4 linked regions of the Drosophila melanogaster genome follow. The protein of the gene in region 3 interacts with the protein of the main gene of each other region in a biochemical or structural test. Each region holds a gene or a part of one and is shown on either strand. Other genes may lie near its edges.

The links.
Region 1: the proteins of Cam (region 3) and ninaC interact in a test that uses a peptide from one of them, tested with the Drosophila melanogaster proteins (2 studies listed by BioGRID, with this or other methods).
Region 2: the proteins of Cam (region 3) and Ric interact in a test that uses a peptide from one of them, tested with the Drosophila melanogaster proteins (2 studies listed by BioGRID, with this or other methods).
Region 4: the proteins of Cam (region 3) and trpl interact in a test that uses a peptide from one of them, tested with the Drosophila melanogaster proteins (2 studies listed by BioGRID).

What each region holds. Positions count from the first base shown.
Region 1 is NT_033779.5:7,376,147-7,385,781, reverse strand, and holds ninaC (neither inactivation nor afterpotential C), read right to left. Parts: upstream 8,081-9,635; 5' UTR 7,917-8,080; intron 7,398-7,916; 5' UTR 7,382-7,397; coding exon 7,094-7,381; intron 6,999-7,093; coding exon 6,135-6,998; intron 6,077-6,134; coding exon 5,139-6,076; intron 5,071-5,138; coding exon 4,778-5,070; intron 4,719-4,777; coding exon 4,447-4,718; intron 4,380-4,446; coding exon 4,093-4,379; intron 4,027-4,092; coding exon 3,877-4,026; intron 3,822-3,876; coding exon 3,724-3,821; intron 3,661-3,723; coding exon 3,607-3,660; coding exon of another isoform or gene 3,443-3,606; exon of another isoform or gene 3,025-3,442; coding exon 2,837-3,024; intron 2,772-2,836; coding exon 2,356-2,771; intron 2,304-2,355; coding exon 2,027-2,303; intron 1,976-2,026; coding exon 1,595-1,975; 3' UTR 1,438-1,594; downstream 1-1,437. Other genes in the region: CG5149 (uncharacterized protein), read left to right, coding at 1-351, 416-522, 642-732, 791-895; Wnt10 (Wnt oncogene analog 10), read right to left, coding at 8,523-8,710. UniProt on the Drosophila melanogaster protein: Required for photoreceptor cell function. The ninaC proteins combines putative serine/threonine-protein kinase and myosin activities. Essential for the expression and stability of the rtp protein in the photoreceptors.
Region 2 is NT_033778.4:16,105,498-16,112,289, forward strand, and holds Ric (Ras-related protein interacting with calmodulin), read right to left. Parts: upstream 4,521-6,792; 5' UTR 4,350-4,520; coding exon 4,130-4,349; intron 3,932-4,129; coding exon 3,875-3,931; intron 3,778-3,874; coding exon 3,260-3,777; 3' UTR 1,943-3,259; downstream 1-1,942. Other genes in the region: Rho1, read left to right, coding at 220-300, 363-554; Asph (aspartyl beta-hydroxylase), read left to right, coding at 5,123-5,174, 6,244-6,429, 6,486-6,644, 6,705-6,792.
Region 3 is NT_033778.4:12,256,430-12,263,256, reverse strand, and holds the start of Cam (calmodulin), read right to left. Parts: upstream 3,860-6,827; 5' UTR 3,799-3,859; intron 3,226-3,798; exon of another isoform or gene 3,218-3,225; 5' UTR 3,072-3,217; coding exon 3,069-3,071; intron 2,982-3,068; exon of another isoform or gene 2,444-2,981; intron 1-2,443. Other genes in the region: Vha36-2 (vacuolar H[+] ATPase 36kD subunit 2), read right to left, coding at 4,706-5,302, 5,378-5,902. UniProt on the Drosophila melanogaster protein: Calmodulin mediates the control of a large number of enzymes, ion channels and other proteins by Ca(2+). Among the enzymes to be stimulated by the calmodulin-Ca(2+) complex are a number of protein kinases and phosphatases.
Region 4 is NT_033778.4:9,750,989-9,757,800, reverse strand, and holds the start of trpl (transient receptor potential-like), read right to left. Parts: upstream 4,105-6,812; 5' UTR 3,962-4,104; exon of another isoform or gene 3,824-3,961; intron 2,188-3,823; 5' UTR 2,072-2,187; coding exon 2,042-2,071; intron 1,764-2,041; coding exon 1,618-1,763; intron 1,509-1,617; exon of another isoform or gene 399-1,508; coding exon of another isoform or gene 55-398; intron 1-54. Other genes in the region: CG1690 (uncharacterized protein), read left to right, coding at 55-398. UniProt on the Drosophila melanogaster protein: A light-sensitive calcium channel that is required for inositide-mediated Ca(2+) entry in the retina during phospholipase C (PLC)-mediated phototransduction. Required for vision in the dark and in dim light. Binds calmodulin.

The sequences.
Region 1 (9,635 bases), on a different chromosome or scaffold from region 3:
CGCCCTATCATCGAACTACCTCACGTCCTGTATATCAATGCTCAGCTGCCCCGCGAACATCGGCACAAATGGCGCTTTCTATTCTCATCGAAAATCAACGGGGAAAGCTTCTCGACGATGTTGGGAAAAGTGCTGGACAAAGGACCAACGCTGTTCTTTATTGAGGACGAGGATCAATATATATTTGGCGGCTACGCGTCCGAAACGTGGTCCGTGAAACCGCAATTTGGAGGCGATGACAGCTCATTGCTCTACACCTTAAGCCCTGCCATGCGGTGCTTTTCGGCCACAACTTATAACAATCACTATCAGTATTTGAATTTGAATCAGCAGACTATGCCGAATGGCCTGGTGAGTAATGTTTATAGCTAATTGATTGATTGCTTTGCTAAATGTTTATATTTTTCGTATACAGGGCATGGGCGGTCAGTTTGATTTTTGGGGCCTTTGGATTGACTGCAGTTTCGGCGATGGACAAAGCGTTGAAAGTTGCACTACATATCGAGACTACGTGCAGTTGAGGTGAGTGTAAATTAAAATCTTGATTATGTTTCACCTTACAGACCACTAGATTCTATATTTTAATTCAACATTATTTTAAACAATTGTGGTTAATCTACCAATTATTTATCGTACCCAAGTAAACGGAAACAGTTCAAAATACGAAACATGGAAGTTTGGGCCGTAGGAGACTTACCAGTTAAAGAAGAAGACGAAGAAGGCGACGGTCACGTATGTCAAATTAAACTCAATATTATATTAAATAAATAATCATATCTTTAACCCATAGAAACGTTCTGTGCTGGATGGCAATTTGGAAGATCGGGCCATGTTGGAAATTGCGGGCAAGAAAATGCACTCGGATGGATTGCGTGAGCCCAACATGGATGATTGATATTATGTGAAACTATTTAAGGAAAAAGTTTTGTTTTATCATCGAGAATTTGTGAGACCATGCCCGATATGGGTGTGCAGTTAATGATTCAATTCAGTTTCCTTAGCTTTTTTGCAATCCCTATCGAACACACAAAAAAAGTCCTGCGAACAAAAGAGTATTTGTTCAATCCATTCCTATAAACGTTTTTGTTTAGGTATTAATGTTTATATATACAATGTATAATGGATATAGTTTATGAAATACTGAGAGTATTGTTGTTGCGTTTTAGATCTTAAAGTGAGAAAAGTAAATCATTTAAATGATGTAACAAAGAAGCAAGCATAATAAGCAATGTTAATTCGTCGAATTTTTCCCATTTTTATCCTACGTCAATAAAATGCAAATTAATTGCTGAATTTATATCAATGTCTTTAAAGTTAAATGTTTGAGTATGCCAAGGTAGCATTTACCTACAAATAACCTAAATAATTAAGTGGTTTATAGAGATAGAAAAATGAAATGCGGTAAGAAAAAAGTGAAAATTTAAATAACGATTTATCCCAAGACATTTTATTTATTCCATTGTGTGAAACGTTTTTGAGAAAGTGATGAAGAAAACTTCAATCATTATTTTGGAATTTTAGGTGGGTTTTAGCTAAATTGTCTTATGGTTTGCATAACAATTAATTTTAATATTTTTACTCTTAATCACTAGTTTTAGATATCGACGGCATAGCCTGAAAGAGTGATTCCAGGTGCAATCTCCTCTTCTACATAGGATCCTGCCTCCTCGAAGGATCTAGCATTGCTATCTTCGAAGCTGCGACCCACGCTGGCTGGAGATTGTCTCAAGGTCGGAGCCCTCTGCTGCTGGCCAAACTTCCTAGACACACCATAGTTTCCCGATGATGAATTATAGCCCTCATCGTCTTGGTACCGGCGACCTGTCGAGCGTAGCTTGGGCGGCTGGAACGTGTGTTGGTCACCACTGTCCGATCCGCGGCGATTGTTAAAGTCATAGGTGTTGGTCTCGGATCCCCTCGGATAGTTAGTCTTGCGCAGCATAGCCTTGAAGTTGAATGGTGGATCCTCAGAGTTCTGGAAAGAAAATATCTGAAGAATTTCCTTAGGAAATTGACATACACTTACATCACCCTCGTTGCGAGCCATGTTCTGAAGTTCTCTAACTGGATCCGACGGAGGATACGAGGATCTTTGCTGATAGTTGCGTTGCTGCTGGTTCGGATTATTGCGATAATAGTTGGATGAGGGCATTGGTGGAGGAGGAGGTGGAGGCGCCGCATAGCCCTTCAAGGAGTTGCGCCTGGATCCGGATCGATGTACGCCCCAGTTCTGGTTGTTATAGTTGCTGTTATAGCTGTTGTAGGCATTGTTATAGGCATTCATGTTCATCTGCATTTGATTTCTGAAAAAAAGTGTTAGAAACTTAAGTTCAACCTTTGAGTATCTTTGCTAACCTCCTCAGCTGTTGGGGATCTCGGAAGTAGCCCTGATTGTAGATATTGTCGCTCTCGCCCATGCGATCCCAGTTGGTCTGGCAAGCCTGCTCCTTCTTATAGGCATTGTAGGTCAGGGCACAAGAAGTCATCGAAGGATTGCGTTGCAGAGGGCTGTCCCAAGGCTCATCGTCCTCCATGTGCTGCGTTAGTAGCTGATTGGGGAAGGCTTGGCGGGAAATGGAATTGGCCGGGTCCACCATATACTGGGTGTCATAGAAGGGTATCTGATCCAGGCGGAATGGCATCTTTTTTATGGGCACTGGCAGTGGTCCTAGCTGCGAGGAGTTCACTTCGCGCATATTGATCCTCTCGAAGGGCACAGCCCGAGTACATTTATTCAAGCCAGCCACCATTCGTTGGTTGTAGATGTGGACCTGGTACATAATATAATATATATATATATATATATTGGATTTGAAGATAAGAGATTTGAACTCACCTGCTGTGAGAGATTGACAAAGTCCTGGAAGCGAGCCGCGCGGTAGTGCAGGAGGACCTGGAAGATAGACTTCTCGCGCCATTTCTTGGCAAACGGACGGATAAAGTCGGCGGTGTTCTCGTTTAGTTGGCCGGACTTCTCGTTGACCAGCGGAGGGAGGCGGACGCGGTCGCGGAATCCCCTGAAGGCTGTGGGAAAATGGAAACGGAGGAAGGCCGTTAGAGTAACCCATTTGAAAAGCGGTCGCGGCGGTGGACGGTGGTGGTGAATGAGAGGGAAGTCACCTTAATTTAATTAAATTTTCATTTCTTTTCTACGCAGCACTTATAATTCATCTCTTTTCGCAGGGGCCGTCGATGTTAAGTGTTATGTCTCAGACAGCTATAAGCCGATTGGTTGCATCAGATGGAGAACACAACCGCCCAGCGGGATGGGGTGGGATGGTATCCACATTGGACACCACTAAGCGGCTTAAGTGGTTTGCCGAGGCCCTAGACTAGATGATAGCTGGTTGTTTGCGTTTTCTACATTTTATTGGTAGTCGTATTACGATTAGTATCGATCGATATAGTGATATAGTGTGTATAAATGGTATATAGTAGGGGCCTATTCCTCGGCGGAGGCCTGCTCGATTTTGGCTATTCGCACCGCTGCCAGAGCCTCATCCATTCTGGCCTCGAGGAACATCTCCTCCGCCTCCGAGGGCGTCTCGCTTATGTCGATGTGCTCCTCGTCGTACTCTCTTAGCCTATCCACCTGCGTTTTTTTACCTTTTTGTATTTTGGACGCGGCCACATCATGATGCTCCGGTCCCTTTTTGCCCACTAATAGGGAATTTAAAATTAGATTTCATACCATATACTGTATAAGTATTATTTATATCTTACATTTGAAAACTTTGCCGCCCTTAACTCGTTTCCGTGCTAGCAAAGCTCGCATCATGGACTGCACTTTGATGACCTTCTTCACCTGCAGCTCATACAATCTGAAAGCAATTGATAGTACTTGCTTTTCTCAATGCGTATGAATTGATAGCTCACCTGGCTAAGAACTCATCGTTATAGTAGCGCAAAAACACCTTGGTCTTGCCCAAGGCCCAGCCTTCCATCTTGAGGCGCAAGAATAATAGACGACAGTTATCCTTGGTCATTTCCACGGGCTCATCAAAGTCAAAGGCAAGGAATTGGTATCTAATACGAATATTTTAAATATTTAGAAATCTTTAAATGGAAACTGGAATGGAATCGATTACCCACCGCCTTAGGAACTCGTCGAATGGCAGACGCGAGCTGAATCCCTTCTGGCGAGCAATAACAGTGTCCAGAACTCCCAAGGCCTTCATCTGTTGCTGGACGACATCCGAGTGGAAGGATCTGGGCTTGTACTCCAGATCAGCGCGAATGCAGCGAACGAAGTGCACGCCGAGATTTGCATTCTGGCTTAGCATTTTGAGCAGGGTCAGGCAGGTGAAGCGGAAGTTGGCCGCCAGGGTACGTAGATTGTTCACTTGGGAGATGCATCCGGCACTTAGGGTATTCAAGGCCTGAAATGCATAGTTTACAAAAATATACCAAATTTAGGTTAGCTAATAAAAACTGTGACAGACTTACATATGACTTCCGTTCAGATTCATCCTTATGCTGCACTGCCTCGAATGGCATGGTGAGATTGCCAGCCTTGGTCAGTTGATTGGTGAACATGAGCATGATGCTCTCATCCAGCGAGGAGCGGAAGGTCTCGATCATTTCCGGCGGCACAAAGTCCCGGTTGATGTCGGTGAAGGCGCGCGTATCATAGATGATGCGGCCCGTGTAATGAGCCACGGATATTTCAGTGGCAGTGTGCTTCTTCACAAACTGGCTGTGCTTCTCCGAAACGCGATCTGTAGATGGAAAGTGGTTAAATCACATATCCAAAGTGGTGCCAGAATTGGTTGTATACCCATAATCAAATCCTGATCTTGACAGGAGCGTGAGGCATCGTCAATGATGTAGAACAGGCCATCCGGTTTGGTTAGCAGATTATCCAGAGCTGTCTTGTTGTCATAGAAATTCAAGTTGATGGTGTCAATGTCTTCAGCTTCCATTTCCAGCATTTCGCTGATAAAAATACGTTGATTGTAGTGATATTGCATTTGCTCGTTTAGAGTATTGATCATTAGTTGCTCCAGACCATTTCGATTAAAGCACTCAAATCCAAACATGTCGTGAATAATGATGGCATTTGTGTCTCCGCTTAAAAAGTTATTTAAGCCACATTGTTAAACTTATGAATTTGTAACTTTTTTTTTAATATTACTTACAACACAGCCCGTGGGAAGGACATGTTCATGTTAATCCTGTTGATGATAAAGTCCACCAATCGAGAGTAGAGCGTGCTGGCCACCGCATCGCGTGCATCCCTAGCTTCTTCAGTGGTGTACTGTCGCCTCTCGGCGATCCCGCCCTTGACCATAATGAAGTTGGTCAGAGACCACATGAACTTTTTCTCATCCACACGGAGGAGCTCGGCGATCCGGGACACAATGTCCGTGTTCTCCACTTCCGCATACTTTCCGTTCTGCCGGAAACGGATGTTGCCAATGTTCAAAATGGCAGCCAAAACTTTGCGAACGGTCTCCAATTGCTTGTGATTGAAATCAATGTCCCGCAGGATGTTCTCGAACTCCCTGTACCTCTCCACATTGCCCTCGGGATCATCACGACGATACTTGAGTTTCGATGGCGGAACCTCTGGCGGAACTCGCAGATAACGATAATTGCGATCAGCCTTCAGATTGTACTCCTTAAGCTGATTTTGCTGATTAATAAAGTCGTAGAAGTAGTAGAAGATGTGGAAGTTGTGCTGGGTTCCGTCCGTAGTGGCCACTCGTAGTTTCTCCAGCATATACATATTAAAAACGGCCCCACTCATTTTGCCGGTTTTTCCAAAGGTCAAGCAATATTGTAGGACACATCTTGTGGAGTCGTTGTTTACCGGAGTTCCTGCATTCACCAACATCAGGATGGCCTTGATGGAGCTCTCCACGCGCCCGGTGGCCCCACGATTTCCATCACCCAAGTAGCACAGATGCTTGATTAGCAGCCGGGCATTTGTGGACTTGCCCGAGTAGCTCTCTCCGGAGAGCACGATGTGTTGCGGCTCCTTATGATGCAGCATATCCTGGTAGGCGATATCGGCCACCGAGAAAATATGCGGCTGGTTTTCCGAACGCGACTTGAAGCGATACTTGGCATGGAACTAGAGAAAGGATAAATATAACATATTTAAGTATACATATTAGATGTTTTCAACTTACCTCCTGCGGAAATTCCTGCTTGATTTCATTGGAATTCAAGGATAAAAGGATATCGCCAATGAAACTGTACGATTCCCCCATCAAAATGCGATGACGCAGTGACTCGATTATGTTTTCATCCACGGGATTTTCCAAGGCAGCCAAGTCCTCCGGATACATCTTTTCCGGCTTCTCATCGAACCTCTTCACATAGCCGCGGTCCACGAACAATTCCGGCTCCTTGTACAAAGTCTTTACATCCCTAGAGAGTTCCAACATTTCTGCGATGTCCGATCGCATCTCGTCCTCGTTTTCGATGAGCTCCGTGAGGAATGGATGCTCCACCATCTCAACCATCATGGGCCGATTTTCGGCATTTTTCTCCAAACTCTCGGATATAAAATCATTGATCTGCTGCGACCAATTAGTGGGTCGCATTAAGGTCGGCGGTGGATTGCGAATGATCTGGAACATGGCCCTAGTGGGATGCATGTCAGCGAACGGTGGCTTTCCATCGGCCAACTCAATGGTAGTGATTCCCAAGGCCCAGACATCGGCACGAACGGTGATGTCCGGTTCGCGGGATTCCATGGCGGACACCACTTCGGGAGCCATCCAGCAGGGAGATCCAATGCAGGTGCCCCTCTTGCCCAGAGTGGAATCCACCTGACGGGATAAACCGAAATCGCACAGCTTGACCCGTCCATTTTTGGTCAACAATATGTTATCTCCCCGAATGTCCCGATGCAGGACATGATTACGGTTCAGCTCGATGGCAGCACGGCAAGTCTCCCGGATAATGTAGGCGATGTGCTCCTCTCGCATTCGACGATCCAGTTTCAAAAGCTTGTTAACCATGTCCACTGCTGTTCCCCCAGCGCAGTACTGAAATATTCAAATGGTTTATATAAATTACAAAAAATTGGATTTAAATTTTTGGAAAAAATTTAATAAAATATTAACAAAATGTTTTGACTCACCTCCATGACAAACCAGATCTCATCAGGTCCGTTTGGCTTCGACAGCTTGTAGACGCCATAGAACTCGGGAAGATTGGGATGGTCGCAGTAGTCCCGCAGAGTGCGATACTCCTCCTCGATGGAAACCTGGTGCTCCTCATCGTAGTGCTGAATCTTCAGGGCAACGATCCGATCATTGTCGAGCTCCTTGGCCCGAAAAACCTTGGCATTGACGCCTTGGGCTATCTCCTCGTAGATCTCGAATTTATCCGTAGGATCCGGCAATTGCGCGTACGGTAAATACATCATGACTTAGATGCTTATTCTGAATATTCGAAGAACATGTGGGTTAAACTTGGGAATTGGGTCTATCATAAAATGGGCTTCAAAGGTTTTCTTTTTCAATTTTCCCTCATGCAAATCGCATTATATTTGGGTTCATTGTTGCAAAACACTTAAGAATGGGCATTCTAGAGGTTTCATTGTAATCTTTTGCTTCTAATAACAATTTGCTTTTTCTTTAAAGGTGAAAGTTAAGTTACTTTGGTTTACTTAACGTAAGGATATTTTGGAATGTTTGCTTTGCAAGCACGAAAGATTTCAAGGACCTTTAAACAAATAAGATGCAATTTTGAAATGTAAAATTATAATAAAACCATTTTCTATAAAACACTTAAATAATTCATGTGAAAACGAAAAAGTTAAATGTACGATTTATCCTTGGTAATTAATCCTTCCTAGGTTTGTATTTTGAATCAGCAACTTTGGATAAAGGGATTCTAGGGGGTTATTTGTATTATATCCACTTCACAGGGCTTCAAACACTTAATCCTTCAGGACACACCTTCGCTGCCGCAGATTGGCACACTTATCCTGCAGCTGTGTATTTTTGGTTGCAAGGATGTACTTGTGTGGAACTTCGAACCGACCGCACGCATGCAGCACGTACCGCTGCCGTTAGCCAACTAAATGATGGGCCAATGCAATCGGAGGCTTTTCACTGGCAAGGAAGGAAGCCATTCAATGGGCAGTACCTGGGTGCACACCTTGGACAACTATTTAGCTGGCTAATTCAATTAGCGGCGGCGACATTCACGTGCAAGTGAAAAAAGCGGCGACACAGATGGCCAAAATGCCGAGGTGAAAGGGAAATTGGCAATGCGAGTGAAAGTCAGCTGATTGACAGACTAATTATGCATCTTATTGTTCGTATTTACAAAATATATTTATACGTATTCCAAATGGCTGGAGATTGCTAAACTAGGCATTGCATTCACACACGTTGTTTATTGATGTTTGCCCTATTGCGTACTTTATGTTTTTTTTTCTGTAATACTGATTTCTTTGTGTGTTAAGTTCTGTGAGAATGAAGAAAAGTCTTTTCTTATGCATGTGGCTGAGGCTCCATCGCTCCATCACTTCATCGTCCTTCGTCTTGCGTCCATTGTCCTTAATTGCATATGCTAATCCATTCCTCTACGTGGCACTCCTCGCACTCCACATTACAGCACCATTGGAATTTACAGTGACACCGCTCCGCCCTCCGCTGGATGACCTGGCTGTGGCCACGGCCACAGCAGAGGGAGGTGCATCCGTCGCTGGTCGTGGTGTTCCGATTGCACTTGCGTCCCACGGTGCCTGTGCGGAAATTGGCTCAGATTAGTCATGTTTATGTTTTTCTAAAGATATAATCATCAGAAAAGAAAATTATGTGGTATCTATTAAAATATAAAAATAACAAGTTAATAAAATTAGTGGTGTAAGATTTGCGTAATTAGCAAATGATTAAGTGTTCTCATCAAATGCAATCCATCGCCAAATGGCAGTTAATCCCGCCTACTGGCGGACAAGCAATTAAAAGACCATAAATAAACTATTAAACTAAAGCACAAACAAAGTATCATAATTGTTTGGCCGACGATAATTGCCAGCGTTAATTGCTATCATTTGAATAGACACGACACCGGACACGGACACATGAATCAAAACGCCCGATGGGCTGGCTGCTCCCCAGTTCACTGCTGTTGGAGCCTGAGTTGGAGCTTGAAGTGAAGCTGGAGTTACCGGGCTAAGCCGACGATTAATTATAAATTTGCGTCGTAATTAACACTTTTAAACTGCTGGCAGTTGGCGGGGCAGCAGCGACGCTTGATAATTTGCAAATGTGTCAACAGCAAAATGGCTAACGAAAATTGCAAGTGGCAGTTAGACGTCGATTTCGATGTGAACGTGCCGCAGTTTCGACCGATCCCCCAAGCCAGAGTACAAGCAAGGGGGGAGAAATGAGGGGATACAATTAACCCAAACTCATTTCCAAGCATAAAAAGTAACGATTTTCTTTTAGTATGTTTCGGCCAATTGTAGTTTAGATAACATATCAAAAACCTTTATTTTAAGAATGTCAAATAAGAACCCCCCTCAGATTTTCAGTCTCCGCCACTGCTTTATACAATCCAAACTGAGTTGAGCTGATCCGAACCAATCCAATCCGATCCGATCCAAACTGAGCTAAGCTAAGCTGAGCTGCTGTGCGCATGCGTCGCTGTCGCATTTTTTTCGTAAA
Region 2 (6,792 bases), 3.8 Mb from region 3:
TTGGTTATTTCTAGTTTAATCACTAAAAATAGTCTGCTATGAGCCAATTTGCTTTGACTTTCTGAATCATTTCCTTACTTCTCAGCCTTTAATTTATAATGATAGATATAGATAAGAAGAAAGTAAGTGGTTCCCAATTACGAATTACTTGTTTTTGCAGTTCGACTATATGGAATCTGATATCAAAATATGATACTAATCCTTACTACATTATTGCAGGTCAAACACTTTTGTCCAAATGTTCCAATCATTTTGGTAGGAAATAAGAAAGATTTGCGAAATGATCCCAACACAATTCGGGTACGTATACGCGCTGTTGAACGAGGTGAACTTGCAGCACTAAACTAAACTTGATTTTACAGGATCTAGCAAAAATGAAGCAGGAGCCGGTGAAGCCGCAGGAGGGTCGCGCCATGGCCGAGAAGATTAATGCCTTTGCCTATTTGGAGTGTTCGGCTAAGTCCAAGGAGGGTGTGCGAGATGTTTTCGAGACGGCAACTAGGGCCGCGCTGCAAGTCAAAAAGAGGAAGAAGACCAGATGCCTTTTGCTCTAAAAGAGCAAATCAACAACATGAAAATCTTTACCACACACACACACAGCAAAAACAACAGCATAAACACACACAAACACACATACACACCTTTTACAACAATAACGAGCTGAACAACAACCACTCAACAACAACATCAAGAACAACCAGAACATCGGATACACGAAGCTGCACCACCACCCAACCAGCAACAAACATGAGCAGAAAACAGAGAGCTTGAGCTAGAAGATCAGCGGAGGAGGGATGCAGCGAGATATAAGGGAAGGCAGCACCAAGTAGAATGTCAAATGCGGATTTGATTTTATATACAGTCTAGTGTAGTTATAAACCGAAGTAAACAACAGTAATAACTCTGGCATTATTATTTGTAAAAACTAGGGCAGAGCAGATCAATCAGTCAGCCACTGCAAGCAAAAAATATATATCGATATATGTAAACATATTCAAGTTGTGTCCGTTTCTGTCCACCCCCTCCTCCTAGATGTATGTTATTATTTCGTTAACTGTGTTGTCAAGTGTAGAGTCGGCTGTGGCTGGACGAGATTGTGTCGTATGCGAGGGTGAGTGAGTCAGGTGAATCAGTGGAATTAGGAACAGAATCGGAAACGGAATCGGATGTTGGATCCCGGGGTCCAAGGAGGTCGTAGGCGTCAAGATGAGAGTTATGTTCCCATTAAATCTATCAAATACAGAGAGACCAGGCCGCCAATAGGAGTTGGAAGCGAAACTACATTACAAGAGCCGAACTAAACACAAAACAAAACAAAACAAAAACGATAAATGTTTATTTAACTAAACGTAAGCCACAAATGAGATGCATTCAGTTTTCGCGTGGGAGATGCTAAGAGGGAAAATTTTTGATGAAGTGAAAAACTATTTCGAGCGCATTAAGCGAGTTTTTAATATTTGTACTTTGCATTAAAACGAGTGGAAAACATAAAAAAAAAAAGATACTACAAAACAACCAAACAACTATATGAAGAGTATTTTATGATTTTATAAAATACGATTATACATATAATTATACTATACAGTACATATGTGTATGTCTCTTTTTTTGTATTTTGTACCGTCAATCGTGTAATTCTCACACAGAAGTTGAAAAACTCGAAGATGCATCAGATACAACCAAACTATATTATACTTATGAATAAACAGTACATTTGATCTACTCTTGGTTTAACTAACTGTTTTCTTATTTGGCCGGGCATCGAATTTTATTAGGCTAAGATAATGGATTTAAATCCGGGGAATACCCGCCCTTTAAAGTCAAAACACTTATCTTTAACGGGGTTAAAAAAATCTTTATTGAGGGTATTGTTTTTGTTTATTTTGTGCTTTTGTATTTAATTTTTTTTTTTACATTTAAAATGTACATAACATTATGAATCAAAATGTTTTGGTTTTTCATCGATTAGGTATTAGGTTTCACAATATTATTCCCGAACAGGTATGTCGTTTTCGAAACAACATGGACACGACACATTGCTTTGAACATCTAGTTCCCAAGCCTTTTCTCTTAAAACGTACTTTTTAATCGCTTAACTTTCGCGGCGAAAGCAATTCTATTATATTTCTACCCGCATTTGATTCGTTTTCGTGTTGGAGCTGTTGTTTTTCTTTTTTTCGTCAGTCGATCTGTTTGGTTCGAACGGTTGCAGGATTCGCAATAACAATTAATTATTAGTAATTATGGGTAGTCCATTCAACTGTTTTTTGGGATCATGTAACAAACAGAGTAATTAAAGCCGTGTTAGTATTTTGTTTCCGGTGATGCAGTTAACATTGATGAGAGGAACTCATGGTGATTGCTTAGAGAACGTGATGTGTGGTTTCTTGTGGTAAAAGTAATCAACAGATTTCGTTAAACTAATAATAAATAAACTTAGGCGTAACACGTGTGTCCTTAACAATATAAACAATAGACTTTTCTCAAACTTAAACAACAAATGCATCGGCTGTCGTGGACTTAAATTATCAATTTGGGCTTGGATCTGAAATGAACGCACATTCTCATTCATATTTCATAATTTGCAATGTTCCCGCGTTTTACATACTTCTTAGGTCGATCGATCGATTTATAATATTAGTATACATTAAATTCAACATTTATTCGATTAGTTAAATGTGTGGCTCGTGTAACGTATGTCATGTGCGTGTATTCTGGGTAAATACGTACATACATAAGTTTAAAAATCCTCCAATTCTCTGCCCTTCGCACCTGGCAATTGGCTTTTGGGTTAATCTCCTGGCTAGGATTCAGAGTTGTTCAGATTGTTAGTGGGGGAAGACTCGACCCCTCGATCTTGCTGAATTTAAATGCTTTTGAGCTTTAGCCAATTGCCACACTTGCTTAATCGCTCTCGTCTAGGAATCAACATTAGTAATATTTACTACATAAACATATGTACGTGCATTGTTAATATGTATCTTTTGGATCGGTGCTTAAACGTATTGATATACTCTATCGCTGATCTACTGCCTCGCTATCCTTTCCGGCCAACAACAAGTACTTTAAATAGTTTCCATAACAAATAATAAATAAACCACTGTGGCCATAACAATTAGTTATCTGCTCCTCGATCGGTTAATTTCTCTTTTGTATGTTGTATCTGATGGGTATGTGCTATATACAAAATATAGCAAACAAAAGTTACTTGGTTTTTGTGGTTAATATTGCACTCATTTCAAGGAATCCGCCTCCTGGTCTAGTTAAGGTTTCGTCTGCGCCGGAAAACCAATGCGAAAATGGATCGGATGCGCCACCAGCGACTTCGTCGCCCCGTGTGAATCTTTTCCGAATTGGAGTCCGTGCCCAGGGCCTTGTGCATTTCCTTGCGTCGAATCTCGCGGACCAACGTGTAGAATGCCTCGTCGATGTAATGACGCAGTGCAGCCGATGTCTCAAAAAACGGGCAGCCGAACTGGTTGGCGAGATTCCGGCCCTCCTCGGTGGTCACGCGTCGCTGCGACTCCAGGTCCACCTTGTTGGCAATCAGAACCAGCGGAATGTCCTCGGACAGGCGGACACGGGTTATTAGTTTCCTGTACTCGGAGGCCTCCTGGAAGCTGTGGCGGTCGGTGACCGAGTAGCATATGATGAAACCTTCGCCGCAACGCATGTATTGGTCCCGCATGGCCGTGAACTCCACCTGGCCGGCGGTGTCAAGGATGTCGAGCAGGGCGGCCTCATTGTCGATGACCGCCTGTTGCTGGTAGGAGTCCTCTGCAGCAGCAAAAAAGAAAAAAAAAACCGGTATACATTTAGTGGGGTTGTGGGGGCTTGTGCCTTAGACGCCTTGCGCACCCTGCGCCTTACTCACCAATTGTGGGGTCGTGGTAGTCCAGGAAACTGTGGCTCACGAACTGAAGGGTGACAGCTGTTCGGGTTTCGTCGTCGTTTTCAGAGGGCGTTGGGAGTGGTGGTTGGTGGAGTTTCGTGGGTGTCGGTGGTACGGGGGTCAAAACAAAGCGTAAAAGAAATTGAGATAATTTATTGATTTTTCGCAGCCCCAATCAAAGTGCGCAGTGATAACTCGGCATTTTCTTTCGTCTAATCCATGGCTAGAATAGCTCACCTGACTTGCCAACGCCACCGTCGCCCAGGATGACAATCTTATAGACCCGCAGACCGCCGCGCATATTCTGCGGCGGCACCGGAGGCGGCTTGATCAGGCTCCCGTTGTCCCTGTGGTCGCTGGGCACCCGCATCGAGTCCGTGTCGGCGGCGCTGGTGCAGGACCTCAGCTTGCTGGATCGCTTCAGGGCCGCACAGCCGATGGACATGTCGCCGGCCATAATACCGCTGACCTCGCGGATTTAGACCTGGTCCGTGTCGGTCCTAGTCCCGTTCGATCGGATCACACGGAGAACCTCTGCACCGCCGTCGCCAATTGTGTATTATTTTCTTGTTTTTTTTTTTCTTGGTCGGGGTTGGTTCCCTTCGAGATGGGCGCGTGACGATACTGGAGACTGCAGTGCGCATGAATTTTAATGACATGCGATATTTAAAAAAAAGCTAATTTTTTTAATTTAAATTATTTACTTGTATTTAATACTTTGAGCACTTTACATTTTAAATCAAATAAATCAATTTGTTCTGTTGTATGGATAGCGCATAGACATAAAATATGAAAAATCCACGAGTAACAGAAAAAATTACATTTGGGTTTTCTAAACGTTTGCGTTGCTGAACTGTTAAAATTAAATTCAATCTATCGACACAACACGATTTAAAATAAAACATAATTATTAGAATTAAATAAATGTATAAATATTTATGCGTAAATATAGTTTTTGAGAGCTGTCATGAGTTTTCCATCCAGAATAATAAAATTGAAATAGCGGTGCCTTTACTGCCCAGCTGTCATCTCTAGCTTTCATCATTCCCGCCGGATCTGGCAACGCCACTGTCTCTTTATAAATAATTTTCCCACGGTGCGAGCGGTATTTGCATTTAGTAACGTGCTGTTCGTCGATCCAGATCGCCCGTTTTGCCCGGTCCGCTCGAAAAGGAAAAACAAACACTCTCCATTATATTGGCATAGGTTTTAGTGCCTTTAGCGAGCAAAATGTCGGGCGATGTGCAGCCGCGTAAGCGCAAGGATAAGCGCCGAAAACGCGGTAAGTCCCTGTTACGGTACTTTTACTTACAATCATACTCGAATGGACCGTTATTTGGTGTGAAAAACGGTTTTGTCTTTTCGCCGCCGCCGCGTAGCAAGCAGTTCATTTCTTTTATTAGCATAATAATATTGTCGAGTGCCTTTAAAAATAACTTTGCCCTATTATATAAAATTATACATCTCGCCTGTTTTCTGTCGCTATGCGTGTGCCGATCGAGCAGGAAAATATATATGCATGACATGTGTGCGGGCGAGGAAGGCGGGAGGTAGACCATAAAGTGGGTATTTCGATCGGTAGCCAAAGAAAAAGGGCATTGAATCGGTGTGCAAAAATCGAGAAAAATCAGAGAGAGTGGTTTTCCCTGATTTATTTATCTTTTTCCCAAGGCAAACAGATGTTTCGTTGTCCCTGGGGTATCCTCTTATTGCTATCTCTCTCTGCCACTTTTTCTCTCTATTGCTCTCTTCTCTGCGTTATCTTTATCTCATTGGAGAATGGAGAGCTCCGTCACCTTCTCGGCAAATTAATTCCAATGCAACAGAGATCGAGATTTACATACACAGATACTACAATAGATACCAGATAATGATGCTTCCGTAAAGATTCTGGGGCCATTACACCCACGGCACCGAAATAAGTAGCCACGATGGTGCATATATGTGTAAAGCCATTTAATTTCACTTGGCCAACTGCCCAAGAGCATGACTGGGCGGCTTCTTTGTTTATCGTTGCGCATATTTAGGCATAAACAATTCCCCCCAACCGGCGCCGTCTTATCAGCTTGTAATGCCGGTATATGTCTCATTGTAACTAACTTTTCGTCTAGATGATCGCAAGTCCGAGGGCGATGTGACTGTTCTGCGTCAGTCCAGTTTTCAAGGTAGAGAAATAGATACCCCCCTATATGTATTTTTCCCAACACACCCCGGAATGCTTTGCCAAATTAATTGAATGTCTCGCTCAGTTACTAAAACCAAGTAAAACACTCGAAGGTGGATTCAATTAAACTGCTTGTAATCACATGTGTTTTTTTATTATTCACTATCATGCAAATGTCGGATCTCAGATGACGACGAATCTTCGCACGGCGTTCACATTACAAAGATGGGAAACGAAGATCTCCACCTGCATGTGCACCACGATCACGGAACTGGCGGTCACTGGTGCGCCAAGATTATATTCTTCGCCCTGATGGCAGTGCTCCTCGGTTTGGTGGGTCTGATCATCATGGAGAATCGCGGACTGGAGGATCGTAAGTTATAGAATTCTTAGAAATTTGAATTGTACTGAATACCTGTTTTATTTTAGTGGACACTCCTCTGTCGGAGTCTAGGTTCTCGAAAGTTTTTGATGGCTGGGTGGACGAACATCGAGATGAGCATGATGGTCACGATGTGCAGGAACCCTCGGGAGAGGCGTTAGATGATCACGATGAACACGACGACCATGATGATCATGAAGACGAAGGTATGTTAATATTAACTTAATATAAATTCTTTTAAATATATGAACACTTTTTAGACGAAGAGCCCCTCACAGAAGAGTTAGAAGAAGAACTGGAGGAAGAGGAAGAGCCAACTGAGGAGGATGAGCCAGCGGCAGATGAAGAATATGA
Region 3 (6,827 bases):
TATCTTGGCGTACTCTGGGGCAGATAAAACGCTTTTCAACTGGGTTATGTCATTGGCAAGCATGACTAAGCCAGAAACAGAAACCGAATGAGAAACACCCATCGAAATGCAGATCCCCAATCTGTTGAAAAGCAAATTGAAGCCCTCCTGTCTTCAAATGGCGACATTTGCAATCAACAACATGAGCAAAACCCCACCCACCGATGATATCCATTAATGGCAGTCAATCGGGCGAGGTCGTTAATCGAGTGGGGGGCTGGCTAATGCCTAATTGGTAATCCATTTGTATGCACAATCAGACGCCCACGACGTCCCGAGGAAGCTTCCACATCCAAGGCAAATACAGTGCCTTCCGAAAATGTATGCCTGGGGGATCAGGACTCAAGCTGTGCGTATATTTATCGGGATTTGTCCGTCATTTTTTAAGGTAGTGACTCATTGGATGGGTCATTGTATAGTAGTTAGTTCAAGATCATCACTTTTCACTTGCAAATAATATGATATCAAATATTATTCATACTTATGAATACATTTTGATAACAATAATTTTAATACACTTGGGCTTGAATCATTTATAAATTCACAAACGAGTTCTGCTGAATAAAACTATTTCTTCCAATGAGTTTGACAGTTAAATACAACATTAAAACAGGTCTTGGCTGAAATTATGCGGCTTTATGTTAAAGCCAAGTTTGCCGGGTTTACCGTTGTATAGCCGACGCTTTTTTTTTTTTGCCGGTCTCAACCGGTTTCATGGAGTTTAGTTTGGTTTTATGAATGACGGTTAGATTGAGAGCTTGGTTTTTGGGTACAATTTAAGTGCATTCGCACCGGGATCCAAACAACTGTGCTAACTGAGCCATAAGCCAGTCATTTGCCATTATTAACATGACACACACACATATCATCGGGCATTCATCATAGGCCATATGATCATATGATGAAGTCAGCCCAGGAACACAGTGACTCATGGAAATTTATATGAATGTTGGCTCATTTTCAACGGAAACAAATAAGATATACAGACAAACGTATCTCATAATTAGCCGAGCTAAAGATCAACAAACTTTGAAGATCAGTCAGTAAAACCCTTGGCAAATGTTTGCTTCTGGGCCAAGTTAGCAGCGTTGGTTGAATCACTGAAACAAATTGGCCACGTAGAAAGCGATGCGATATATTTTAATTAAAAGCTGTTTGCATTCTGCGTGAGCTGTAAAATCGCTAATTAAATTAGGCGACACCAGATGAGGCTGAAAGAAGGTGTGGCGCGGGTGTGGGCATCGCAGTGGGCGTGGGGCTTTCTTATCAAAAAGCGCAGAGGAAAGCAAACGAACGAGAGAAGAAAGCGCAAAGAGGGCGGCAAGAAAATTGGATTATGTGGTTAAGCGGCGGCGTCTAGCAGGAATTTTTCTTCATTTGCAGCGCTCCTCCTCCCCCATCGTTCGCCTGTGCCGTTACAATAAAATTCTTGCGCGAAAAGGCAAAGTGGAACAGGCAGCCGCCAACACACACACCCATACGCTCACTCACACGCACACGAATACGAATACGCGGAGCCGAACGAATGAACGACCGAAGCGGACGAACCAAGGCGAAGGCGAAACAGCAAAATAACCGCAATGCGGCAAATGAAACGGTTATGGAAGAAAACAAGAAAAGGCAGGCGCCGATAAAAGTGACAAGCGCAAGGCGCAAAAAAAAATGAAATGCTGAAAGAAACGGAAAGAGAGAGACGCAGCACAAAACGGAACTGATAACGCAAACGAAATAATTGCACATAGAGAGAGACGAGAAAGTGTGTGAAACGGTTATGCGAGAGAGCGTCGAAACGGTTAAGCTGAGCGCAAGAGCAGGAGAAATGCCTCTAAAGAATTTTTTCACCATTTCCATGGGGCCGTGTCTAACCTCAATTTTTGCGGCCAAGTGTGCGGTAAATAAAAAATACAACCAGAAAGCAAAGAACAAGCGAACAACGAACGGCGGGGCAAAGAGGAGAGGCCAATAATGCCGGGACCGGCGACTTTGTTGTTCATCATCAATATATATTCACACATTTTCCACTGATAAGCAAAATGGAGGGCGCTTTTCTATTATTTGCGGGGATCTTTGAAAAATTGCTGATAAAAGTGCCGATGGCAACGCGTCTATGTAGGAATGCGAGTGTGTGTGTGCATAAATGCTCAACAAATTGGCTAAAATCACATTGATTTATGATCCCAAATGGTGGTGGTGGGTTGGGCAAGCAGGGGGGCTTCGAAAATGAGGTGTTGCTCGAGATGCTGATAAGAGTTTCCACTTTTCCACGCCTGATTGGGTTTCCAGGGGTATTTCTACCCGAACGTCATGGAATTATTATAGGGCGAACCCGATCGCGTCAACATTCCGTGTGCGACAGCCTTGATAAAATAAATAATAATTTTGACGAGTGACGTGACATGTGTGTAAATTCTTGCTATTGGCATTGCTATTTAATTGTGCTGCTTGTTTTCTGTGACCCTAGGGGCCAAAGTTGAACATTTGATTAAGTCAGGTTAAGAACATGAAAATCTTGCAGCTTAAATATACTAGTTTAAGTATAAACTTAATTTCAAATGATTGCATTCACTTTTTCTCAATGCAGTTTTATGGATTTTGATTATGTTTCATTGTGAAAGGGGTATAAACTACCATATTTTCAAGGGGTTGCATGGTGTTCGCAATTTCTTGTTTCTAAATCAACGATATTGGGTTGTTGAAAAAACTGGTTTTTTCTACCCGTGAGGCGATATATTTTTGGGGTGCAAAATGTAAACGAATTTCCCGGGGACAGCTGCTTTTCGACGGGGTGTTTGGTGTGCTGGGATGTGTGTAGCGAGTGTGTGTGTGTGAAAAGCCGTTAAAACCATATAAACAACGTCTAATTGGAAGCGATTCGCTCCTCCCGCTCGCACTAATGGCAATAGCCCTGGGGGTCGCTGTCTGACTTTGATTTTTCGCAAAAACTGTGGAAATTTCAATGGAAAATGATGGCCGCAGGTTGTGTAAACAGAAAATAAAGATGCACATGTTCTCCAGCCCCATAAACTTACCATTTTTGTAGGTGTTTTTTTTTTCTGTTTGTTGCTAGAGTGACGAAGTTTTAATCCGCTGCGGCTACTGCTGCTGCTTGGGTGTTGGTATGTGTGTGAGTGGAATTACGGAACGCGCGGTTAACTTTATATTTTACTAAATTAACACACTGCAAAAGAAGCAAGAAGAGGTTTGTTGGGTATTACTTTCGGGGGGTCAACTGGAGGTGGAAGAGGCTGAGGAGAAAAACTACTGCCAGCTTGGAGAGAAAGAAAAGCGTCCGTCCAAAGCACCGACGCCGACGCTTTTTTTTCTCGCCGTGGCAGTTTCTGAAATTTCTTTAGTGTTGTTGCTTCAGCCGAATTTAATACAAATTTTCGCCTTGCGTTTCTTCTTTATTTTTTTGTGGCTTTCATTCGTTTTTTTTTTCATCTATTGTGCGAAATATGCCAAACACACGCGCGCACACGGCAGAATTCTCGTTTATATAGTAGATATATGGCGGGGAGAGCTAATACATATAAGAGTTGCTCGAATTCGGTTTTTATAAAGATATTTGTTTAATTTTTTGCTCGTTGGTTTTCTTGATTTTTGGCTGGCGCTGAGAAATTGGCTTTTCCGCGAAACGTTCGCAGCTCCTGGTGCTTGGGTGTGGGCTCTTTTCGCTTTTTTTGTATTTTTTTTTTTTTTTTGTTGGCCCAATACTGCTCTCTATATGCAATGTCTGGTCTGTTTGTTCTGACAACTCACGATCCTAATCTGAATTTCCGTCCGCAACGGTCGACGACTCAAAACTTTGTGTTCAAAATAGCGCTGCGTCGCCATATATACGGTTTTATTTTGCCAGCAGCAATAGCAATAACCGCTCTCGCTCTCGCGAGAACGAACCGGGTAAGTTCGCTTTTGCAGCGGCAGCGTCTGCATGTGTTTGTTTCTGTTGCTTATCCACTCACCTTCGTAAAGCGAAAATAAGTTTGATTTCGCCGTTGTAACGGTCGCGCCGGCGCTTTTCGCGAAAATAGGTGTGTACAAAAATTGTATCAACATACTACAGGTAACTAAAGTTATAAATAATAGGAAGCTAGCTTCTGCAAAAATAAACTTATGCATAGGTTTGCCCTTGCAGTAATAGAAAAAAATGAATCAACTATGTATGTACTCACATATGTACATCTATATAAACAAATGTCTTTTTTATTGTCCGTTTATTCTAATTACCGGTTGTGATTTATGTTTATGTAAACAGTTCTTCGATTTTTAAGTTCAAATTTTAATTGACAAAAATATACTTCAAAATGTTGCAAATTTTATTCTTAACGGATAAATGTTAACGTAAATGTTAAACTAACATTCGATGTTAAAAAAAAACGAACTGTAAAGTCAGCTGTTGCAAACATATAGCATTTGCCATTGCATATGATGGGGAATTAACATACACACATACACATGTATATTATACAGCAGACAGAAATTACATACGTATACGTTATTAATAACAATGACGGTAAATTTTTCCATATATTTTTCGATTTTCGACTGAAATTGCTATACTTTTTCGAAGTGATCACCTAAAATAAATCTTCTATTTGCACACCATATTAAAAATAATTAAGAATTTTTGGACAACTTTAGATTTTGGATTTGTGAGTCCGATTAACTAACTTTCTTCGGGTGGATCTTCATTTACGACATCTTTCGACATCTGGCTGGATCTGCGCTGAGTTTCCTGGCTATTACGCGGAGGAGTATCGGACTTCCTTTCGGTCACATTACTGGCGGACTTCCTTTCCGGTCCGGAGGAGAGGAGCATCCGCTTGGTGCTGTACAGATCACCACTGCTGGCTCGCGGATCCCGCTGGCGACCAGCGAAACTCAACGAGGCTCCGTGGGTGGTGATGAAGGATGTGGGCGGTGGGGGCTCGCCCCGCTTGATGGCCTCCTTTCTCTCCTGCTCGCGGCGCTGCTTTAGGGACAGACGGGCCTCCCGCATGCGCCGCTTCACCTCACGCTCCTCGAACTGCTCCTGATCGAAGGGTGTGTCGGCCGCTGGAGGACGCGTCTGATTTATGTTTCGCTTTATGTAGGTCTCCAGCTCCTCGTCGGTCATGTTCTTGGTCTTGATCAGCTCGGTGAAGGCCATCTTGGCCTCCAGCTGCTTCGCCTGGGAGCGTTTCAGGCGATAGAAATCCTCGCGCTCGAACTCCTCCAACTCGCCGCATATATAGTTATAGGTATTTTGCAGGATGGGTATTACCTTGCGGATACAAAGTGATATTTATTGAAGATTATCCATGATAACATATGGATCATATGAATTAATTATAATTACCACATGCTCCAGAGCATTGACCCTCATGTTGGTCTGCAACGAGGCTGCCTCCAGCATTCGCACTTGGTATTCCAGAGAGGCGAACTCCACCAGTGCCTTGAGTGCCTTCGTATAGGAGTCCCTGATTCGGCTCACTTGCATACCGCCACAGCTGAGACCAGCCAGCGGAAAAGCGCCCACGCCCTTCGTCTCCAGCTCCAGGGTGTTCAGCTTGACGCCCACAATTTTGATCTCCGTGCGGCGTAGCGATACGGTTGCCACGTGGCTGCGGCTTACCATCTGCGGCTTGAAATCGGCGCCCAGAAGATTGGCCTTTGCCATCGAGAATATGGCATTGCGCATCGCCTCATCGCCGTGCATGTCCTGGTCGAAGCGGATGCGACGCAATTCGCGTAGCTTCATATCGATGGCGTCCCGCTTCCGCTTGAGGAGACCCACGCCCCTTCTAGCCGCCAAAACGCGCTGCTTCATGATCACCGAATTGGCGCGGGATGGAAAGATGGGCAGGATATCGCGTTTGGCCATGGCGGTGACTTTGGAATTGGACTCTGATCACGTAGAGTTTGAATTTGGCCGAATTGTAGACTTTGTTACAAACGAATTACTGATGTGAGTATAAAAACATATGTATATTTTTAAAACCACGCTTATAAGAGGTTTTCAAATGCTTATGGAATAAATATGAAAATTGTGGAAGAGTGCTATGAATTAGCTGGGATTTTATGACTCAATCGGCAAAAAGTCAACAAATTTACTCCCTTGAATTCTTTTCGAGCTTATCAAAACTTTCAATTTGTATAGTGAATGCAGTGGTGTATATTATAAATATTTTGTATGAATAAGAAATTTTAGTGCTTGCCAAAATAAGAATTAGAAATGAATAGTTATTTTAGGCTGTAATTATACTAATTAAACTATTTATCAATCAGTTAAATGAATTGTTAACCCTATAATTGAAAAAAAAAATACCAAACAAATTCCTGATCCGCCAAAATCATTTTAAATTACTCATACGCATAGTTGCCTATGGAAAATTACGCATACGCAACGTTGCCTTATCTATGCCTGATATTTAAAACAGCATTTTTATTTAGCTCTCGAAAATGATGTTTTAATTTACATTAGCTTAATCCCTAGAAAATGGAATCATTCACATATAATACATTTGTTATTTGTGCTAAAGATAATGTCCACAAATCGGCAAACCAGCGAATGCGTGTGTGTGTGCAATTACAATGCGGAACGTTTGACCATTCCACTGGGATTTCACATTGCCCATTGGACAGTTGGCCACTGGACACCATTGGACGGCGATTTTGCCCATTTTCCAGCTGCCGTACGATTTCCTTTGCCGCAGCGAATTGTCGCAATGTGGCGCCGCTTGGTGCAACGCAGCCTTGGCGCATTTGCAACGCATGCCAACAAGTTAAGTATGTTAACCTCTGGAAAA
Region 4 (6,812 bases), 2.5 Mb from region 3:
AAGTGTGTTCTCGGAAGATTCGTGTAGGAAAAGTATGTTCGTTAAATCTTGTAGAGACCCAGACTGTGAAGCTGGTGCCCGGAGGCGGTCTGGTCAACAACTGGTTTGCCCCGGCTACGTATGGGCCAGCAGGGATTCCATTTGGGGCTAGTCCCATGATCCCACCGCCGCCCGTTCCGAATCACAGCGTATCGTGCCAGTTTTACATGGACCGGGAGGAGCAGCTGTACCGCCGCGCCTGCCAGATGAAGGGCATCCGGGTGGAGCGGGTCTCTGAGATCCGCGAGGAGGAGGACGACTCGAACGGCTCCGAGGAGGAGCCTTCGAAGGGCATCCGCTACCGCTACACCCTGGACGAGATGAAAAGCTTCAACCCATACCGTTTTATCAACTTTTAAATGTTCCCAAAACGTCCCAAATAGCCGTCATAGACGTCATAGCCGTCACACTTTCACTTTTACCCACATCGCACCGTCAGCACCTCAATATTCAAGTTGATTTAAGATCCATAACTAGGTCTAGCTTCGCCACCCTACCCACATAAGATGTCAGCTTATAGGTTTATCTTGCATGCCTAAAAATCGCAAGGAGCATCACACGAAGAACAGGAACCCAGGACACTGCCCATTTGCTTGTTGTTGCCGTATTTCCATGTAGACTCAAGATCCAAGACTAGCACTAACTTCGCCACTACTTCCACAATTTCACATTAGATGCAAGATTATATGGACATCGTGCATGCCTCCAAAGCGTATTGGGAATCACAAATGAAACAGGAACCCCGGACACGGCTCATTTGCTTGTTGTTACCGTATCACTCGCCCGATGAAAACAATAAAGAATTGTTCATAAATGACATCCTGGGATGTCAACAAAAAGTAAGGTTTAGTTGTGCTTTCAGGTAAGGGAACTTAAGTTATCCGAAAAGTTGCTTTTCAATAAGATTCGTTTCTCGAATTGATTGTGCATGTTAACAGCTTTAAGTGGCAACCGAAAAGTATTTGGATAATTTGGCTTATCTCTTATTCATTGCCAGCAAACGGAATTAATCGTACATTTGTTAAAGCAAAGCCGTAAACGAGCGTAAAGTATCCGGGTCGAAGGCCTCATATTGCTTATTAAGTGGCTGCCGGGATGCCAGTTAGGTAACCATTTTGAGGCCCGCGGCAGACGAGTGTGCAAATAATTGAACCCACCACCAGCACCGCATCCAAAGAACCCAAGGAGGCTCCCGATGGGATTTATGGTACCTGTGCGACCCAGCCCAGTCAACACCTGTGTTACCCTGGGCGAAGCCACCATTGGAGCTCGTGATACCCCTCTAAAAATGTCAGGGTTTTTATTCGAACACCCTACACTCGGATAAATGTGGTAGTGTGTTTAACTATTTCTTTTAAATTGAAGGCTAAATATATCAATATACATTAGGTTCTACTCGATTGATACATTCATTAGCTAAGCTTGTACATTAACTTTGAATACTAATGCTCATCCAACACCTGATTGTGGTAAGAGTTTCTTGCAGTGTATCCCTCCCGCCCAAGATGCCATACAGAAACACCACCCACCCCCCCCCCCTCCCTGCTGGGCATCGGAGGCGTGAAAAGCGCTACTCACCTGCGCACATTCGGCATATCGCCGCGCTCGACAGCCAGCAGGAACTTCTTCTCCTCGAGCAGCAGAGGCTGTGGTAATCCCAGCGGCACACAGCACCCGCCCACCGATTTGGGGGCGGAGGAGGCGTGGCTGACGCCAGACGATACCTGGCATAATTTAAAGAGACAGGTGAGCAGGAGCCACATACGTACATGCCGATGTGGCGAGGGGGAAATCGTGTATGCGGAATTGCAAATAAATAAAAAATAAACATACAAGAAAATTAAGTGCAAAGTGGAGGATGCTGGGCTGATTGTCTGGCTTCCATCTAAATGGCATTGGAGGCGTTTAAGGTAAGCGGCGTTTAGCTAATACTGGCGGCTTTAAGACATGCTACTTGCTGGATACGGATCTGGATCGGGATCCTGGATGGGTTTCTACTTACGCCCGTCGGCAGCTTCTTTTTGCGACCCATTCTAGAGTTAGTGCACTTCACTTAACCGAACGCCAGCAGTTCGTAACTAGTATTCCATGTACCAAGTCCAGGGTTCAGAGTTCAAAATCCGACTTCATGTCGCAGGGCTTTGCACACTTGCAGTGAAAAGTGAACGATATTTACATATATGGCATATATATTTATATACACAATGGCAAAGCCAAAAAAGTCCAATACTAAGCCGGGCCACATGCAACTTTCAAGTTGATTTTGCTTTTGTACTCATAGTTGTATAGTCCATAGTTATATGTCCAACTGGGTGTGCTTGTGTGTGTTGGTGTGTGTGTGTGTGTGTCTGGTGGTTTTTGACTTGGTTTATGGTTTCTGGTTTCCGGCGTGCAAAAAGTTTCTATTTAAGCTGTTTATAATGTTTTTCTTTTTATTTCCGCCACTGACCGAGCTGGCTAAACCCTTTTTAAGTGCCATCTGCATGGGCAAGATTTAAGTTTTGCCAATTTAGTGAGTTGATTAGACACTGTGCAGTTTCACTGTTTCCCGACTGTTACTGGTCAATTCCAAAGGCCACACTGAACACCAAATTCGCGAGCACTTATTGCACCACTTATGACCAATTGTTCAATCGGCTTTCTGTTTTGATTTACATTTTTATTGCACTCATCTCATTAGCAACGAACTGCAGTTTGTATTAGTTGTTGCTGCTCTCATTGGATTGTTCACATCATCGCCAATCGTTTCTCCCATTAGAATTAATTTCTTTGTTTCCCAATATTTTCCCACACCCGATGAAAATATTTTTATTTTCCGCTGCCTTCCTCCGCATGTGTGAACACAATGCCAAAATGAATATTTAAGGAGCTTTTTTCGATAATCCGCAAAGAAAAAATGCATTCCGTCTACATGCTTTTGCTTTAAACTGGCTTTATGCTCCTGCGGATGCGGATCTGCATGCGGATATGGATGCGGATGCTGCAGATGCATTTAAAAGTGTTTGGGCTGGTCATAAAAAATGCAAGTGCTTTGTATGCGCGGCAGGCAAAAACTCGGAACCATCATCATGGCGGTTGTTCCATAAAAAACACTTCCGGTACCAACAAAAGGTGGTTCTGACTACCCCAGGAGCCCCGATGGTGCATTGTTTAATTAACTTAATAGAAATATAAGTGCGGAGGACGGGCGAAAATGCGGACGGACATAAAAATGTCGCAATAAATTCGGTTTTATCCGCCACTTCATGGGAAGCGTTTATAAATGGATTTATAGCTGTTCACCTGCACAGCAGGTGCATACTGCGACTGCCCATCGAAATGGGATTATATCTGCACCTGTATATATTATAACAAGTATAAACTATTCGGTTAACATACGATGTAAAATGCATATGATATTTCACTCTAATTTCTCCCTCTGCAGCCGAGATGTGTTAATTCTGCCTGGCACCGATCGAAGTATCATAATTTTGTCGCAAGCGCACTGGAGTTCATTAAAACTAGAACAAATTTTGAGTATTTTACAGAGTTCATAAAAACGAAGGGCTTATCGCGATGGCAGCCAGTTGAATCGAAACTCCAGCAGTCACAGACCACAAGCTCCGCACACACAGCCCCAACTTGACAATCAACGGAAGAGGTAGGAGCAACCTGCAGCTGCCAGGAGCAACCAGGAGCAGTCAGGAGCAACCAGGAGCACAATGAATGAAGGATATAGCCACGTAATTCAGTTGGCTCACGGACTGCACTTAAGCCACTTATAACCAAGCGTACGGATACGTACTTCTTGCATTCCGGCACATAAAAACGTGTGCAATTGTTCGACTCGCTGGCACAATGGACGTTGGAATTTCATGTGACCGGCTTAGGTGAGAGGACTGCGACTATGAATTGTATGCTGGCATATACTTTATAACAATACGTTTGGCCACCGAACTCCCGAATTCCCGTACAATGTGTGTTGTAGTTTATGTATATCTGAATTTCAGCTCTTTTGAAGGCGAAAACCCGCCGAGAGACAACCCGCGACGCAGCCCGAACGTGTGCCACCTGCGAAATTTACACGCTGCTACTAACGCGCAGAAATTTATACCTTTCCCGAGGGCCGAGCGGCGATGTGGCTAATTTAATTAGACTAAAACGTCAAATATTTGTCACCCATCGCATGGATACGCCTGGAGGTTGTCCGTGCAACATTTATCCACACATATATATATATATATATTTCTATAGGTTTATATATACGTTTGTGGTGTTATGAATTGTGGAGGTCGAGGGCTGAAACACAGTATCAACAAGTTTTCGCCAAGTTCGCCTAAGGGGATTAGGACCCAAACATATGTAGGGGCTGGTGCTGAGGTGGGACTGGTGGTGGAGGTGGGGGCCACGATCCAGACGGCGACTGTCGGCAATTGAATTACAACTAATTTGCCATGATTTGATTTGGGTTGCTACAGCTATTGTTTGCCACTTGCTCTTCGGGCTCTTTTCCGGCCACAAACTGCTGCACATTTGCGGATACTTTCGTGCTGCCCAATGCAGCGTGCGTAATTTGATTTGGAAAATTTCAGTTTAGCCTGCAGTTCGATTGACATTGATTAGCTGCTGTTTTCAATATATGTTAATAGCTGCGACTCGAAACATCTTGCATATAAATCTACTGCTCCTTCTACCATTATACACTTGCTATAAATCTGAAATCTACTACTAGTGTTTTCATTGCCTAATTTTTTTATATTGCAATTATTTCATCGTAACGCAGCATAATACTTGTAATTGTTTGAATTCAATTAATTAATTTTTCACTTGTACCGAATTTTTTCAAATGCTGATACCCATTAAACTGATTTCAAGTAAACCTAAAGAGCCTATGATTGTGTTATTTCAATAGTTTGTTTCATTTTCAACTTGCTATTGAAAAGGGTTCCTGGTTCCACTGGCTGCTCCACTTCAATTGGGATACAACGAACTGCTAGACAGTCCAAGAGGGTCCTTCACATGTTCATATGTCTCCGGCAGAGTCAGCCTTTTGACGGGCATAAACAAATTTGCCCAGGCAAATCTAAACTCTAGATACACAGAGGGCATGAGCAGTAACCAACTTGCCAAACAAAGGCGGAATTAAATCAAAAATCTTAAAATGGATTTTGATGAGATGGAGCATAGCGGGTTGTTGGGCTGCCGAGGAGGGCAGGGATGAGGGGAATCCTTTGGCGACAGACAACAATTGAAGCAGATTCCAGCATCAGCTGAAAAGTCGAGGTTTGGGCCGGAGCTTCGCATGACTGCACGTAAACAGGCGAAGCCAAACAAACAAACAAACACCAGATGAGGTTTTCGGGCGGAAAAGAGTGGAGCAGGAGCAGGAGGCGGGTGTGGCAGGTGGGTTACCATGACTGCGTCTTTTATCAAGCTGCATGCGGTGGGCGAAGAGCTCCAGTTCGGAGTAAAAGCATCCTTTAAGGTTCGTCCTGGCTCCAATCTCCCGATTCTCTGGCCGCGTTGCGATATATCTGGCACTTCCCCTGTCTTTTTTTTGTGCTATATCTTCTTGTTTTGGCCACGTGGCTTTTAGTAATACACTCGAAATTTTTGAAAATCACTTAACAAATAAACTATTTTATAATAAATAATACATAAATTAAGTATGAATTTATTACTTCGAAGACATCTAAGTTTGTGTGCTATCTAAATCTGCAAATAAATAATGGAGAACAGCAACTCAAAAAAGTATAAATCAATTGGTAACAAGTTTCCTTTATTTTTCTGTAGATCTTTTCAGCTTTTCCTAATATTTTCCAGTGCAATTAAACATAATTCTATATCTTTCTGTTGAGCTTCACAGCTTTTCCTAATACTTTCCAGTGGATCTGAGTGTGTCTGGCGATGGCAGTCCCAGAAGCAAACAGACAGTAAGTAGCATAGTTACACGCACGCCCTCACACATTTCGCAGCAGGTTATCCTGCAGCAGGTTATCCTGCAGGAGGCGATCCTGGCCAAGGAGCAGGAGCTGCGGAATAATATGATGCATTTCCATAATTCACCCGGCAGTTCGCCAAACGGTTTGTTGCTTTGCTGCCGCGCTGCACACACACTTTGCGTGTGTGGCAAATAAAATTGCATTCAATATTTCTCCTCGTTTCGCTGCAGCTCGTTGATGAGATTTTTTCCCATGGCGCCGACCTGCCACGCCCCCTCCAGACGTCATATTGTTTGTCTTGCATTAAATTTATGGCTGTTCCGTTGCTGCACTCGCCCTAAATTGCATGTCGGTTATATTATTTCAAGCTGCACGCTCGCATAATAATGCGGCATCAGTTCGATGCGGTGTGCTTAAGAGCCCTTAAGTGATCTGGAAAATGATTCTTAAATGCGAGTGGGCAAACAGATTGCCGGAAACAGCAACAAAAATTGCATAACTCGGTTAGCTGCAGTTTTTTTTTTTTTGTGTAATCAACTTAAACCATATTCTCAATTTGGCCTGGGCTTTCAGCCAAATATGCTTGCATTTCACATTTCCCGTATTTCCCGTTTTTCGTCGAATCACTTTCCATGGCCGACTTTTGGGCGCCGCATTCGATTTTCGAGTCCCCTACTTTTCCGATTTATTTTTCTCCGCTTGTTCTCTCGAAAATGCTCGCCCAGCTCGCTGAAATGACGCCATCAAGTGGAAGTGGCATTCTTTAAATATTTATTTTCGCATTCCAATGCGCTGAGGCACTTCCCTTTTAAACAGTGCGAAATTTTCATCAATGAAATGAGACTTTAAGTT